2 linked regions of the Canis lupus familiaris genome follow. The protein of the gene in region 2 binds, or shares a complex with, the protein of the main gene of each other region. Links are inferred from orthologs where the notes say so. Each region holds a gene or a part of one and is shown on either strand. Other genes may lie near its edges.

What was found.
Region 1: the proteins of SLC39A7 (region 2) and METTL9 are in contact, whole or in part, in a crystal structure (PDB 8GZE), measured with the Homo sapiens proteins. The link is inferred for Canis lupus familiaris from reciprocal best matches to the Homo sapiens genes SLC39A7 and METTL9. Residues at the interface, in NP_001070984.1 of Homo sapiens: Gly65, His66, Thr67, His68, Glu69; in NP_057109.3 of Homo sapiens: Arg114, Thr115, Asn118, Arg123, Gly124, Met126, Met179, Asn210, Asp213, Arg214, Val241, His245, Tyr247, Glu249, Trp255, Tyr295, Leu296, Cys297, Glu298, Asp300, Tyr306, Val307, Leu308.

What each region holds. Positions count from the first base shown.
Region 1 is NC_049227.1:23,462,345-23,468,907, forward strand, and holds the start of METTL9 (methyltransferase-like protein 9), read right to left. Parts: upstream 4,329-6,563; 5' UTR 4,206-4,328; coding exon 4,041-4,205; intron 1-4,040. UniProt on the Homo sapiens protein: Protein-histidine N-methyltransferase that specifically catalyzes 1-methylhistidine (pros-methylhistidine) methylation of target proteins.
Region 2 is NC_049233.1:2,815,851-2,822,377, reverse strand, and holds the start of SLC39A7 (zinc transporter SLC39A7 precursor), read right to left. Parts: upstream 3,586-6,527; 5' UTR 3,205-3,585; coding exon 2,794-3,204; intron 2,704-2,793; coding exon 2,535-2,703; intron 2,374-2,534; coding exon 2,320-2,373; intron 2,161-2,319; coding exon 1,996-2,160; intron 1,877-1,995; coding exon 1,736-1,876; intron 1,526-1,735; coding exon 1,329-1,525; intron 880-1,328; coding exon 607-879; 3' UTR 1-606. Other genes in the region: RXRB (retinoic acid receptor RXR-beta), read left to right, coding at 3,982-4,213, 4,879-5,126, 5,645-5,801, 6,162-6,341. UniProt on the Homo sapiens protein: Transports Zn(2+) from the endoplasmic reticulum (ER)/Golgi apparatus to the cytosol, playing an essential role in the regulation of cytosolic zinc levels.

The sequences.
Region 1 (6,563 bases), on a different chromosome or scaffold from region 2:
ACAACAGTCTTTTACTGGCAATTACCAGGGTGCCCTCAAGCACCTTCAAAGGGGAACATAAAGGCCCCTGGTATATATCCAGCAGAAGAGGGAGATCCTAGTGTTCCGAGAAATTGAGGCAAACACTTATATAGGGCTTCAACACAGGTTACAAGGAAAGAGACTCTTCAAAATCTCTTTGGTATTCAGCTGCAAAGGCCTCCAGGTTCTGGAAGGCAATTCAGAAGAGGATACAAATCCATCAGTTGTCCATCTGGCAAGCTGGCAACTGCTCCTTAGCACTGTTAACTCATGCCTGACTTTGGTCAGCCTTCACCACAAGGTAAACGAGGAATGAGGGGACAGGAGGCTGAATTTGTCCATTAGCAGCACTTTGACCTATGACTGTGATGTCCAAGTATTTTTTTTCATTTGGAAAAAACAAAAACAAAACACCAATAGTTTCAATTCTGTCTTAAATCCATAACTGTTTAAAAAGAAAAAAAAATTCCATCACTGTTTGTAACATAACACAGTTCTGAAGTTATATAAGGTGAAAAAATAACTATACACAAACTTTTGCAATTTTAAGTTAAACTTCACTAACTGCAGATAACCAGTGTTACCTGTGCTCTTAAAAATCCTTACAGTGCATCGCCTGAAGAAACTGTCCTGGCCTCGTTCCAGGGAGTTCCATAACAATTCTTTTTTCTACTCTATCAACTCAGAAACTATTGAATGGCCCTTTCAAGTTTCAATAGCTCCATAATAGTTGCATTAACTTTAAGTACTAGGTACAATGCATCAAAAACACTAGATCCAAAGTGTTTGTTGTTGCTACCTTCTTTTTAAGTTCTAAGCCTGCCCATACCAAAAAGCGACATATCTAGTTTCTCACTGCCTGGCTCTATTTCTTCCCAATGAGTCAAACTACCCACTGTGCAACCTGTGATTAAGAAATGTGCTGCTGATGAAGGAAGCTGGAAATTTTCTCTGGGGAAAACTCTTTTTCTGTAAGGGGACACACAATAAATACTTAAGGCTTGTAGGTTGTAGTACCTACCAATCAAGTCTGCCATTGTTAGTGAGGAAGCCCTTACAGACAGTAAGTAAATGAAGGTGGTGGCTGTGCCAACAAAACTTTATTTGTGGACACTGGAATTTGAATTTCATAAAAGAAACTGTCACATATTACAAAATATATTTTTTGTGACCATTTAAAAATGTTAAACTATTCTGACTTCATAGGCTATAACAAAAAAGTCAGTGAGCCCAATTTGGCCTGCAAGCCATATCCCAGCTCCAAGACAAGCCCTTCCGTGCTATTCTCTTGCCCAAAGTGAAAAAATAATCCCAGATTTGAAGCTAGCACACCAACCAAGTTATTAAAATGGTGCTGCTACTATAGTTTTAGAGCAACCTTAGCTCAAAAGAGCCTTATATTTCACCTCCAGGCAATAGTAACTAAATAGCAATTTTTAATGATAAACATTTCCCAAGAACTCTTTTAACCAGACTCCTCCACCATAATTTCTTAATAAAATAACCATAAAGAAAACTTGTGCTAAGTACAGTTCAATTAAATCCATAACCCCACTTTCATGCAAGTCCAAAAGAACCAGATGTGGCTGGCGATGGATCCCACACACCCAAATGAACACCAGAAAACCTTAGATGAAACTATAAATTTGAAGGGGGAAAGAATATTAGTGTTAAGTTACTTCATAAGTGAGATAGTTTATGAGGCACACCTAGGATGCTGCAATATAAAGCAGATAACAAACCATAAACAGACACTCTGCAGAGCGGACAGCGTCCTCTTTCACTTTATCTCACCATGCTTTCTACATACACATTTCTTTTGTTCATTTTTATCTTTATTCATAGGCAATATTTCATAATGTCAATGTCTCATCTCAAAATAATGTCTGGATTGATCATTCTATGGAAAAGAGCCAATCTCCCCCTAAATATTCAGAGAGTACCAGATTAGTCTTCACCTGGAGAACTTAGCTGCCAAACTGTTAGTCCAACTGGTTAAAGCACACCTGTGTACACACATACCTGAGTAGCTCAGAAGCGAAACAAAGTAAACGAAGTATCTGAAACCAGTATTAGTTTTCCTCAGAACCTAACTGATTCAGTTTTAAAAAGGTACACGATTAGAAGGTATCCCCTGTTAGGAGATATTCTGAGGCTATGCTAAGGATATATATATATTCTAACTACACTCCACAAAAAACAAATTACTTAATCAGCTTCTCAATTTTTAAAATATAACCAATTTTTCTACAAGCAGTGAAAACATATCAAGTGTGTTATAGTAGAAGTAATCAAGACAAGAATCATAAACACCTACAGCTAAGAGATTCGAACCATAATTCCACATCAATGGAAATCAGTCTCCTTTTTATCCTACCCAGAACCTTCTTTCTACCAATTGTTGAAAATGACATTTCTAATTCATTGTTTTACACCACCATCCATACGGATGTGTGACATTTTGGTAACTACATTATCACTGCGGTACTTTAGAGTCGTTTCTCTGAGAAGGATAAGTGTTAAGCAATTAACCCACAGCAAAGAATGTGGTTTTACAGCTTAAGATCACCTACTGACTTTAGGTACACACTCCCAACAATACCATAGGCATGATTCCCTGACAAATTGCAAGAGCTGTGGGGTCACGACAGAAAACAATTTTTTTCTTTCGTGGAAATTTATTATTTCCTTGAAAAACAGAAAAGGGGCCGTGACCGGTAATTACTAGATAGAAACTAAACCGCTACTTTTCTTAATGAATTGCTTTAAGTCCTTAGATAATTCTTCACGTGTAAACTCTCCGAACGCCTGGCATAATAAATGCTGTAACACAGGAAAAACAAACAAACAAAAATCTATGAAAAATGATGAGACGCAAAATGGGGAATAATCGCTTCCTGCTCCTTGCAAAGGCAAGATGTACTATAGACGCTAGCAATCCTAGGCCAGCACTCTGGCAGAGTTAGAAAGCCTCTTCTCAATGAAGGCAGGGTTAACCACACACTACATTACGGTCAAATATGAAATGTCACTTTTCCTTTTTTTTTTTTTTTTTTTTTAAATTTTCCTCCACTCTTCCTTCTACAGCTGACCTGCACACATACTTCTGTGGAGTGGCACAAAACTATCATGAAAAGACCACCCTAACCGGTCACATTGCAGAGCTCACGATCCGCAACTCTAAAAAGAATTCACTCCTGCCTAATTCTGTTTTGTTTAAACAAAAAACAAAAAACAAAACAAAAAAAAAAAATCCCTTCCAGGAAAAGCTTGCATCATCTTCCTTCTTACCACATCTTTCTGGTCAGATACCAAAACACTGAAGTTGCAAGGAGAGCTCGCTCTCTCTCTCTCTCTCTTAGGGAGGAGTGGAGGGGGTGGGGGGGAGGCTCAGGAGGATGGGAGTGTGAGGACCTGTCAAACACCCTTTTTTTTTTTTTTTTTTTAATTTAACTGCAGAGGGAAAAATGTCAGCCGCTTAAGCCCAGAGACTTAAAAAGGCTCACGATGCACGGTTACATTTCTTTATGGCCCTTTGTATGTTGAGAGATTGAAGCAGACAAACAAGGGTTGGGGTGCGGGGTGCGGGGTGGGAGGTGGGGGTGAGGCCGGCGGCGGCCGCGGGTCGCGCGGGTCACGGGCTCGGCCCGGTGGTGCAGACCGCAGGCCCCGGTGCCCGGTGGATGCCCGCGGCCCCGCGCCCGCCCCTAAGGTCCCGCACCCCGGGCGCCCCTGCGCCTGCGACCGCCGCCCGCGGCCCGGGAACAATGCGGGGCTCCGGGCCCGGGGAGGACCGGGAGGCCGCGCTCCGCCCGCGCCCGGGAACAAAAGGCGCCCGCGGGGCCCGGAGGCGGCGCCCGGCCGGGGAGACGTCGGGAAAACTTTCCGAAGGGCCGAGGCGACTGGGCGACAGCCCGCGGGGGCGGGAGGCGGCGGCTGCGGCCGCGGAGCCCCGCACAATAGCCCGGCCGCGCGGGAAGGCCCGGCCGCCACGCCCCCGCCCCCGCCGGGCCGCGTACCTGGTGGTTCTCCTTCCTGCCGCCCGCGGCCGCCGCCGGCCCGCCGGGGCCGCTCGTCATGTTCACGTACAGGGAGCGGGTGAGCGGGCTCCGCAGCGTCCACATCCTCCGCGCCAGCCACACGGACGCCAGGCTCAGGCACAGCCAGCCCACGAACAGTCTCATCGGGGGCCGCGGCCGCTCCTTCGGATCACCGCCGGCGCCGGGGCGAGGAGGAGGAGGCGCCGCCGCCTCCGGCCGCCGCCGCCGCCGCCCGGGCTCGAGCCATCGCGCCCAACTTGCCCATCCAGCCCCTGCAGGGCCGAGGCGGGGGGGCGGGGGGGCGGGGGGGTGGGGAGGAGCGGGCGGCGCGCACCCTTCCTGCCTCCCCCCCTTTCCTTTCCGCCCGCGGAACGCCGCAGCCGCCGGCACCGGTTTCCGCCCGGAGCACTTACGGGACGCGGCGGCGCGCTCCCCCGGCTCCGCGAGCCTCCGGCGGCGGCGGGGGGAGCGGGACAAAGGGAGCGCGCAGTCGCCGGGCGCGCGTCCCCGCCTTCCGCCTGCGTAATGGTGGAGAGGATTGCTCGCTTTCTTAGGGTAGGAGGGGGTGCTTCTTCCGAAGCGAGTTACTGAAGCGTCCCGGCCCCTCTAAGGTGGTGCCCTCAGCGCTTCTGGTCTTTCTTCGCTTTTGTCGTTGCCTCCGGGCGCCCCCACTCCCGGACCCCAGCAGGACTTGCAGCCGGTTGTGCAGACGGACCCCGGAGGAGGGCGGGGGGGGGGGGGCGAGGAGAGGGTGTCTCCTTGCGGTCTGTACGTCCAGACTGTCAGACCCGACACCTCGCCGGGGACGGACGCTGCCAGTTGGTAAACAGTGTCCTGTTTACGTTTAGAGCCGACGAGCCGGGCCCCCACCCCCCAGGGCCTCCACCCGCCTCTGCTGCAGCGGCAAAGCCGCCGGGAATCTCGGGGAGACCGGGTATCAGCAACCCCTCCTCCCAGTCCCGTCCCGCACGCCTGGCAGGTTGCTGGGTGCAGCTTCTAAGAGGCATCCGTGAAAGCTCTGCCACTGTTGGAAGCTCCTGCAGCCGGGGCACCCGCAAGTAATATTTTAATGTATCGATGACCCTGTCGGAGAATGAAGACACAACCCCGCCTCTCCCCACCCCACCCCCACCCCCGCTACCCCTCCTCAATTAGACTCCCTTGCCTGTTTCCTTGAACGGAAATTTGGACCCAACCAACGCTCTTCCAGCGAACTGGGTTCTAGGAGCAGTATTTACCCGATGTTTCTTTGATCCTTTCTAGCACAGGAGCCCTAGCAACGTTTCAGAACCGAAGGGGTCACACGGTGTTCCTGTGTCTGAAGTCCTTCCTGCTGCTATACCTCCAAGCTACAACTAAGGAGTTAACATAATTTCACGGGCTCTCTAGCTTCCCAGGTTTGTTTAGAAACTGCTTTTAATTGAACTCCACTAGAAATAATGTAAATACATTTAAAAAATTTTTTTTAGTTCAAAAGAAAGTAAGAAGCCTTTCCGTTTACTCTGATATTGCACTTCAGAGATGGTCATTTATGCCACGGTGGCATGGTGAAGAACAAAATTGTTCTTTACCCACAAACGTTTAAAGTAGGTTCTGAGAATCTCAGCTTGGCACTTGTCGAACAGGGACACCTTGTTGCTTAACATGAGGTAGGCTATAACTAACTAACAAAAACATGGGGTGGGGGGGGGCAGGGGAGGATACTTTGTGTTCTCTCTTTTCAGTATACTCCCTGACTGCTTCCTCCCAAAACTGCAAAGAGCCTGAACCTTCCTAAGTCTAGTTCAAACCTCTAGTGGTCCCTGGCCCAAATCATCAAAAGGCAACTGTGTTAGCCAGTCCAGATAATACGATTTGTTTACCAGGTCACCTCTCCCTCCTGTCTCTGAAATCAGTGTGAGATAAAGGAGCTCTGTCTGTGCCAAAAGAAAGCCTTCGTATTTCTAGAGGGGGGTAGTGGGAAGAGGAGGGTGAAAACAGCAAGAGTATATAAAGTGACATTTCATTTCTGAAAACAAAGGAAACAAAAGGTTTGCCCCCCAACTACAGAATAAACTTGAGGAGCCACAGCTCAGAGACTGTAAACTGTGTCAGATGAACAAGAAGCAACTAGATGGCTGCTGAACTCCTAAGGATTTGGAGGTCAGTTGACGGCCATGGAGCCTAGCATCTCAAAGGAGCAGATTTTCATTTTATCGGCCGTAGAGCCTAGCATCTCAAAGGAGCAGATTTTCATTTTATACCTGAGCAGCTGGCCTGGAAAAATGAATCATCCACACATTTAAAAGACTCTATAATAATCACAAAATAGTCAAATACATGTTATTTACGTTTAGCAAGCAAGCACAGGAAGAAACCAAAGCACAACACGATCAAATGATCTGCCTAAAGGTAGAGCAAATTCAATAGCAGACCTTTTCATAGAACTTGGTATCCCAGCTCGTGATCCTTCGATCCATCTAAGAAGCTTTGCTGTCTCTCTCTTCTCAGAGAGCCTCCTGA
Region 2 (6,527 bases):
TCCGAGGACTTTATTTCCGGTCACCACCCCTACCCCTCGATTCTAACAGTGATATCAATAGGAAAAAAAAAAAAAATCAGGCCATGAGATTAGCAACCCACCTCCTCCCTCAATCACTCCCAAATCAGGACACACGATTGATGTTCAATTGATGTATATCCCTGACTCCTCCTGCTACTGCCTCTTTCCAGGGCTCTGATCTTCCCTGAAGCTTCCACCAACAGGTGAGAGGGGGAGGCGGACCTCGGAGAAACCTGTGTGGTTGGCTTGGTCCTCTAAAACAGGTTGCGTAGGGTACACCGAGTAGGCTGTCAACACCCCCCTCTCTTTTCCAGCCGTCTTCATGGCCTCAATTAGCCTCAAACCCAAGATGGTCAGCACATTACTAACACTATGGTCGTTCTGACTTTTCACTCTCACTTCTGCAGCTCCTTTAAGACTGCAAAATCTTGATGGCCCAAATGCCAAAGTTAACACTTCCCTACGATACAACTTCCTTCGGCAGATGTCCCTGGCCAGGGCCCCCAAACTCCACAGACCCCTGACCTGGAGGGCTTAGAGAGGCTAGAGGTTTGGGATTGGGGCGGGGGTGGTTTACCCCACCTCTCACTCGAGGTGGGCAATCAGCACCATCATGACAACTCCTCCCAACAGCCCCAGCACCTCCAGAAGTGACTGCAATGGTGATGCCTCCCTCAACAGCTCAGGCAACACAGACACCGTTGCTACGTAGATAAAGCCACCTGCAGTGAATGGCAGAACCCAACCAGAACCTGTGCCACCCGCAACTTCACTTCCCACTGCCCCTCCTTCAGTTAGGAGGGCACAGGCTGTGCCTGCCAGTGCCCCTATCGCCGTCAGTAGTTGCAGACGCATCGCCTGGTGGGCAGAAAAAAACAGAAGACACTCAACAACATCTAAATATGATCAGTGGTTAGGCATGGCTGGTAGGGTATAGGTATATATGGACAAGGTGGATGTCTCTGGGAACTAAAAAGGAAGGCAAAAAGAGAAGGATCTAGAATAGACACTTTCCGTAAAATCTTAAAATACCAAGGAGATCCTTTCCAGACCTTCTGATTGAGTAGGTCAGGGTCGAGAGCAGTGTGAAAGACCCTCAAAGTATTCAGATGGAGTGTGGAGCATAGTTCAAGAAATACTCAGCCAAAGGACAAAGAAACAGAATTTCTCTGCCCTCATTTCTGGAGAATTTGTTGTTCTTAACAGTACAACTTGTTTGGAACTACTGAGAGGCAATTCTGAGTTTTGGATGGGTGAGTAGGAGGTAGAGTTCGAGGCAATCATGTCTGATGCACATCATCACCAACCTGCTTTTTGCTGCACCCAGATTGGACCAGGATGGCGAAATCCCCCACTTCATGGGGCACTTCGTGTAGCAGGACAGTCATTGTGGTCAGGATCCCTAGCCCCCGACCTCCTCTAAATGAAGCACCAATGGCCAGACCATCTGTGAAGTTGTGTGCCAGGTCAGCAGCCAGATTCAGGTACCCTGATACACGTAGGTCTTGTAAAAGTGGAAAGAAAGACAAAATGATTAGAGGCATCTAACACCCCTAGTTCTAGCCCTTATCAGCCATTATTACCTCTTCCCCCCAAGAGACCACTTCACACCAGCCCCTTCATGTTTTCCAGACAGCTGCCATTATCCACAGTGCATAGTCCAAGTAAAACATGATACACTTTACCCAAGTTTATCAATAACCCTGGCTCTCACCTGAACCTGTTTTTTCTTCTTCAGAATTCTGAGGTCTCAGTGGCCCATCTTTGAGCCTCGTGCTCCCTCCTTTCCTCTTCCGAGACCCATTTGCTTCCTTTTCTTCTTCCTCTGAGCTCTGTTTCTCCTTTGAAGGATACTCTGAGGGAAGAAGTTGTTTAAGAGTGGAGAACAGAGATCTCCAAAAATATCCCCAAAAAGGAAGTCTCTTCCTTTTTGCAGCTAAGGTGTTTTTCAAGGAAAGTTCTTCCTAGACTTACTCTGTGTTCCATGCCCATGACTTCCTTGTGTATGACCATGAGTGTGTCCATGTCCATGACTGTGTCCATGTCCTCCTTTCACATGTCTCACAAATTTCTCCACCACCAGAAAGGCAACAATTCCACTGAGGACCCAAAGTCCCACAGACAGAATAGGGCCCTGGCCTGGAAACAGAGGCATTGAGACATTAAGGGAGATGTGGACTCCAGACTCTTCTTCCCCAAGTGCAAGAGAATAGGGAGGGAAACATGGCCCCATTCTGGGAGGGAAACATGGTCCCATTCGGCAACATTCCAACACATCTTCATCCACCCCTTCCTCACCACTGTGGGAATGTCCATGTCCAGGCTGCTCCAGAGGGTGGTGTGAATGAGGTTCTAGAGAAAGGGGGAGAAAAGGCCAAATGAGGGAATAGCCTGCCCAAGTAGCGTGCATTTGGGGGAATACTGCAAAGTCAGGGGTGACAAAGATGAAAGAAGCCTTTTGCCTAAAGAATAAAATACATTAAGATTTGCAGTAGTTGCCAAGGATCACTTACCCAGGGCATGAGGGATGAGGTGCAGAAAGGCATCTCCTAGGAGCCCACCCGAAGCAAAACTCAGCAAGATCTGGAGCAGAGAGCGGTGCCGGGGAGAGTTTGATTCCACAGGGATAAGGAAGAGGACAAAAAATGGAGCTGCAGAGATCAGAACTGTGGCCCCCAGTGCCTGGTGAGGGGAAAGTCAGGGGTCAAGTGGTGTGGAGATTCCCAACAATCCAGAACCAGCCCCTCTCTCCCCTATCCCTTGGGGACTCACATAGGCCCAGAGAGTGACAGTGTCCAGGTCCTGCTTGATGCCCGGAGCCCCAGACTCCCCATAGCCTCCATGGCTATGCTCATGGTCATGTCCATGTCCTCTGTGGTAGAGGCTCTCATGTGATTGGCCATGGCTATGGCCATGGTGCAAATCCTCATGTGCATGTCCATGTTCGTGACCGTGGGTATGCCCATGCCAGATGCTCTCGTGCGTGTGGCCATGGCCATGGGCATAACTGTGTCCATGGTGGAAATCCTCATGTGAGCGCCTGTGGCTGTGGCCATGGAAGTCCTCGTGCAGGTCCTCGTGCAGGTCGCCATGACCCCCGTGTCCGGCCACTAGCAGCCCCAGGGCCGCCCACGTCAGCAGTCCCACGGCCACCCAGTGGGGGGCCCCCAGGCCTCTGGCCATCACGCTGACCAGAGGGGACAGAGACAGTGACTCCACTTGACCCTCAACTCTATACCTATGCGGGGTCAGCTTTACTTCATTCGTGCCCTCCGTCCACTTCTATGGGACGCTCCCCCATTCCGCTCTATGCCCACCCACATTGCTCCCAAGACTTGGTTTCTTTATCTCCAACCCCCTCCCGGATATAGGGCCCCCGGGACATCGCTCTAGGCTTCTTCCTTCACTTTACGGACTCTCTGGGCCCTAGTCTCTATGACCCACTAGGTAGTGGAAAAGGCCTGGAAAGGACAGTAGGGCAAGGCAGGGAATTCTCACCGGCTTCGGGATCCTCTCCTTTCCCGGTTTGCTCGGACGTGGCAGTCCTGCCTCTGGCTCCCGCGAGAACAGGAAATTCCGTCGCCCCTCGGTCCCAATACCTTTACCAATATGGCTGCACTCTGGAGGCCGCCAAGCTGCCCTACTCTGGCGCGCATGCGCAAGTCTGGAGGTTATTTGAGGGGAGGCTGGGCGAGGCCGGCTAACAGGGCTGAGGAGACCGCCTCCTCCGTTTCCAACTAGACGAGGGGGCGGGAACTAGCGCGGAGACTTCCCGTCTATACCAAGATGGCTGCCATATCGTCGCTGTCATTTTGGTACAGAGCCGAGCGAAGTGCTTAATTCGACCCGGTTCAGGCTAGAGTCTTTTTCTCTGGGGCTTCCTTGTGCTCGTCTGGTCCCCCGGTCAATATCTGGGAATCCCTGGTACCTCTTCGGTATCCTTGCACTCAGCCAAGAATCATGTCTTGGGCCGCTCGCCCGCCCTTCCTCCCCCAGCGGCATGCCGCAGGGCAGTGTGGGCCGGTGGGGGTGCGAAAAGAAATGCATTGTGGGGTCGCCTCCCGGTGGCGGCGGCGACGGCCCTGGCTGGATCCCGCAGCGGCGGCGGCGGCGGCAGCAGCCGGAGAACAACAAACCCCGGAGCCGGAGCCGGGGGAGGCTGGACGGGACGGGATGGGCGACAGCGGGCGGGGTGAGTGTCCTAGCGGACGGACAGGCGAACCAGTGACCGCGTTATCTGCGACCCCTCCCCCCCGTCCCCTGGCGCTCCTTCCCTGGCGCTCCCGCCTCCTTGTTTGTAAACACGCGTCCCCTCCCTCCGGAGGGCCCTAGCGCCCTCCCCCCCCGGGGCGGGGCGGGGAGGGGGAGCTTCCGCCCTCCTGGCTTTGGCTGTTTGAGGCCCTGCAGTCCTGAGGTCCCGTGCGTGGGACACGAGTCCTCGAGTTTGGGGGCTCTGGACGTTTGAAGGCAGATCCTGCGTCCGAGGAAGGGTCTCTTCCGCCCCTTTCCATTGTACGATCCGGCTTCAAGCTGGGAATGGAGGGGCTGTCCGTTCCACCCCACGTGCTGCCCCACCCACATAAGATCTGCCTAGCTGGGGGTGACCAAGTATATTGCTTGGAATTCTTTCTCACCCGAACTCTCCTGTCTTTTGTCAACCCCCTCTTCTCACCACAATTAGGAGTTAAACCGTTGTTTGACAACCGGGTGTTTCTGGACACGAGGATGGGTGGGGTGGAGGGGTGCAGTGGGGGTTAGAGAGAGAATTAAAGTCTCCAGTTGGATGATCTAAGACTCATTTTCTCTTTTTGTCTTTCTGTCTGTGTGTCTCTGTGCCTCTATGTACCCTTCCCTCAGACTCCCGAAGCCCAGACAGTTCCTCCCCGAATCCCCTTTCCCAGGGGGCTCCTCCCCCTTCTCCCCCTGGGTTACCCCTCCCCCCTTCATCAGCCCCAACCCTTGGAGGCTCCGGGGCCCCACCCCCACCCCCGATGCCACCCCCCCAACTGGGCTCCCCCTTCCCAGTCATCAGCTCTTCCATGGGGTCCCCTGGTTTGCCCCCTCCAGCTCCCCCAGGATTCTCCGGGCCTGTCAGCAGTCCCCAGGTGAGAGGTCATGGCTCACTGACTGCCTCTCCACTTTCATTTCCTTGTTTTCCTTGTGACCCCAGATCCTTGTGTGAACTTCCCCATGGCCCACTGACCTTCCAGTCCTCTAATCCTGGCAGGCCTGTGGTCCTTGTGAGACCCCTTGCCCTTCCTGAGGTGACTGATCTTTCAGTGCATGCTTCCTTCCCAACCCTATAAAAGGGTCCCTATGCTGACCCTATGCTGACGTCCCACTCATCTATCAGTTATTTTTGCCCTTTGTGACCCATCTGTTGTCCTGAGATACATGCCCTTCAGGGCTCCTGTATTACACAGTCTCAGGGAGAACTGTATGTCTAATCTCTTTGGGGTTGTGCTCCAGGGGTGGCCCTTCACAGAGACTACAATGTAAATAATGTTCTCTGTAATGTGCAATGCAGGCCCTGCCTAGGTGGTAGGGGATGATTTCCATGACCTTTGAGAGATTCTCCTTCCCATTGAGTCTCCCTGTGACTTCCCTATTTCCCCCATCCCAGATTAACTCAACAGTGTCGCTCCCTGGGGGTGGGTCTGGCCCCCCTGAAGATGTGAAGCCACCAGTCTTAGGGGTCCGGGGCCTGCACTGTCCACCCCCTCCAGGTGGTCCTGGGGCTGGCAAAAGGCTGTGTGCAATCTGCGGGGACCGAAGCTCAGGTACGAGGCTCAGGTGATCACCAAAAAGGAAGAAAGAGAGCATCTGACATTTACCATCACCTGTGGGATTGCCACAGGCTCACAGGGTTGCATTGGAGCAAGTGGGTGGGGGGAAGCTTGATGATAGTTAAGGGACCTGAAGCTCAGATGTGGGAGGGGGATGGTCAGAGAAAAGGGAGGGCTGGTACAGGGTTTGAACAGTGAGGAGAGTGGGACTGGATCATCCCTCATTTCTGGGTTCCCCATCTCTATTTGGCAAACACAGTGGATTTAAACGAAGTTTGCTGAGGGGAAGTTGGTGAGAGACTTAATGGTGAGGGATCTACATGCAGCCTTGTTGCTCTTCCCCTCTCCTCTTAGGCAAACACTATGGGGTTTACAGCTGTGAGGGCTGCAAAGGCTTCTTCAAGCGCACCATCCGTAAGGATCTGACCTACTCATGCCGGGACAACAAGGACTGCACCGTGGACAAGCGCCAGCGAAACCGCTGTCAGTACTGCCGCTATCAGAAGTGCCTGGCCACTGGCATGAAGAGGGAGGGTAAGGGTCCACATCAGCCGGGCTTCCTTGGCTACCCTGTGGGAGAGGAGGGAGGAGGTGGAGGGAGACTGCAGGAAACCTTAGTCTACATCTCTCCGTAGGACTGGACTGTTCTCTCTCCTCCTCCAGAGGGCGATATTTGATTTCTCTCTCCCCTCCTCATCAGCTCTTCTTCCTGGTATCCTG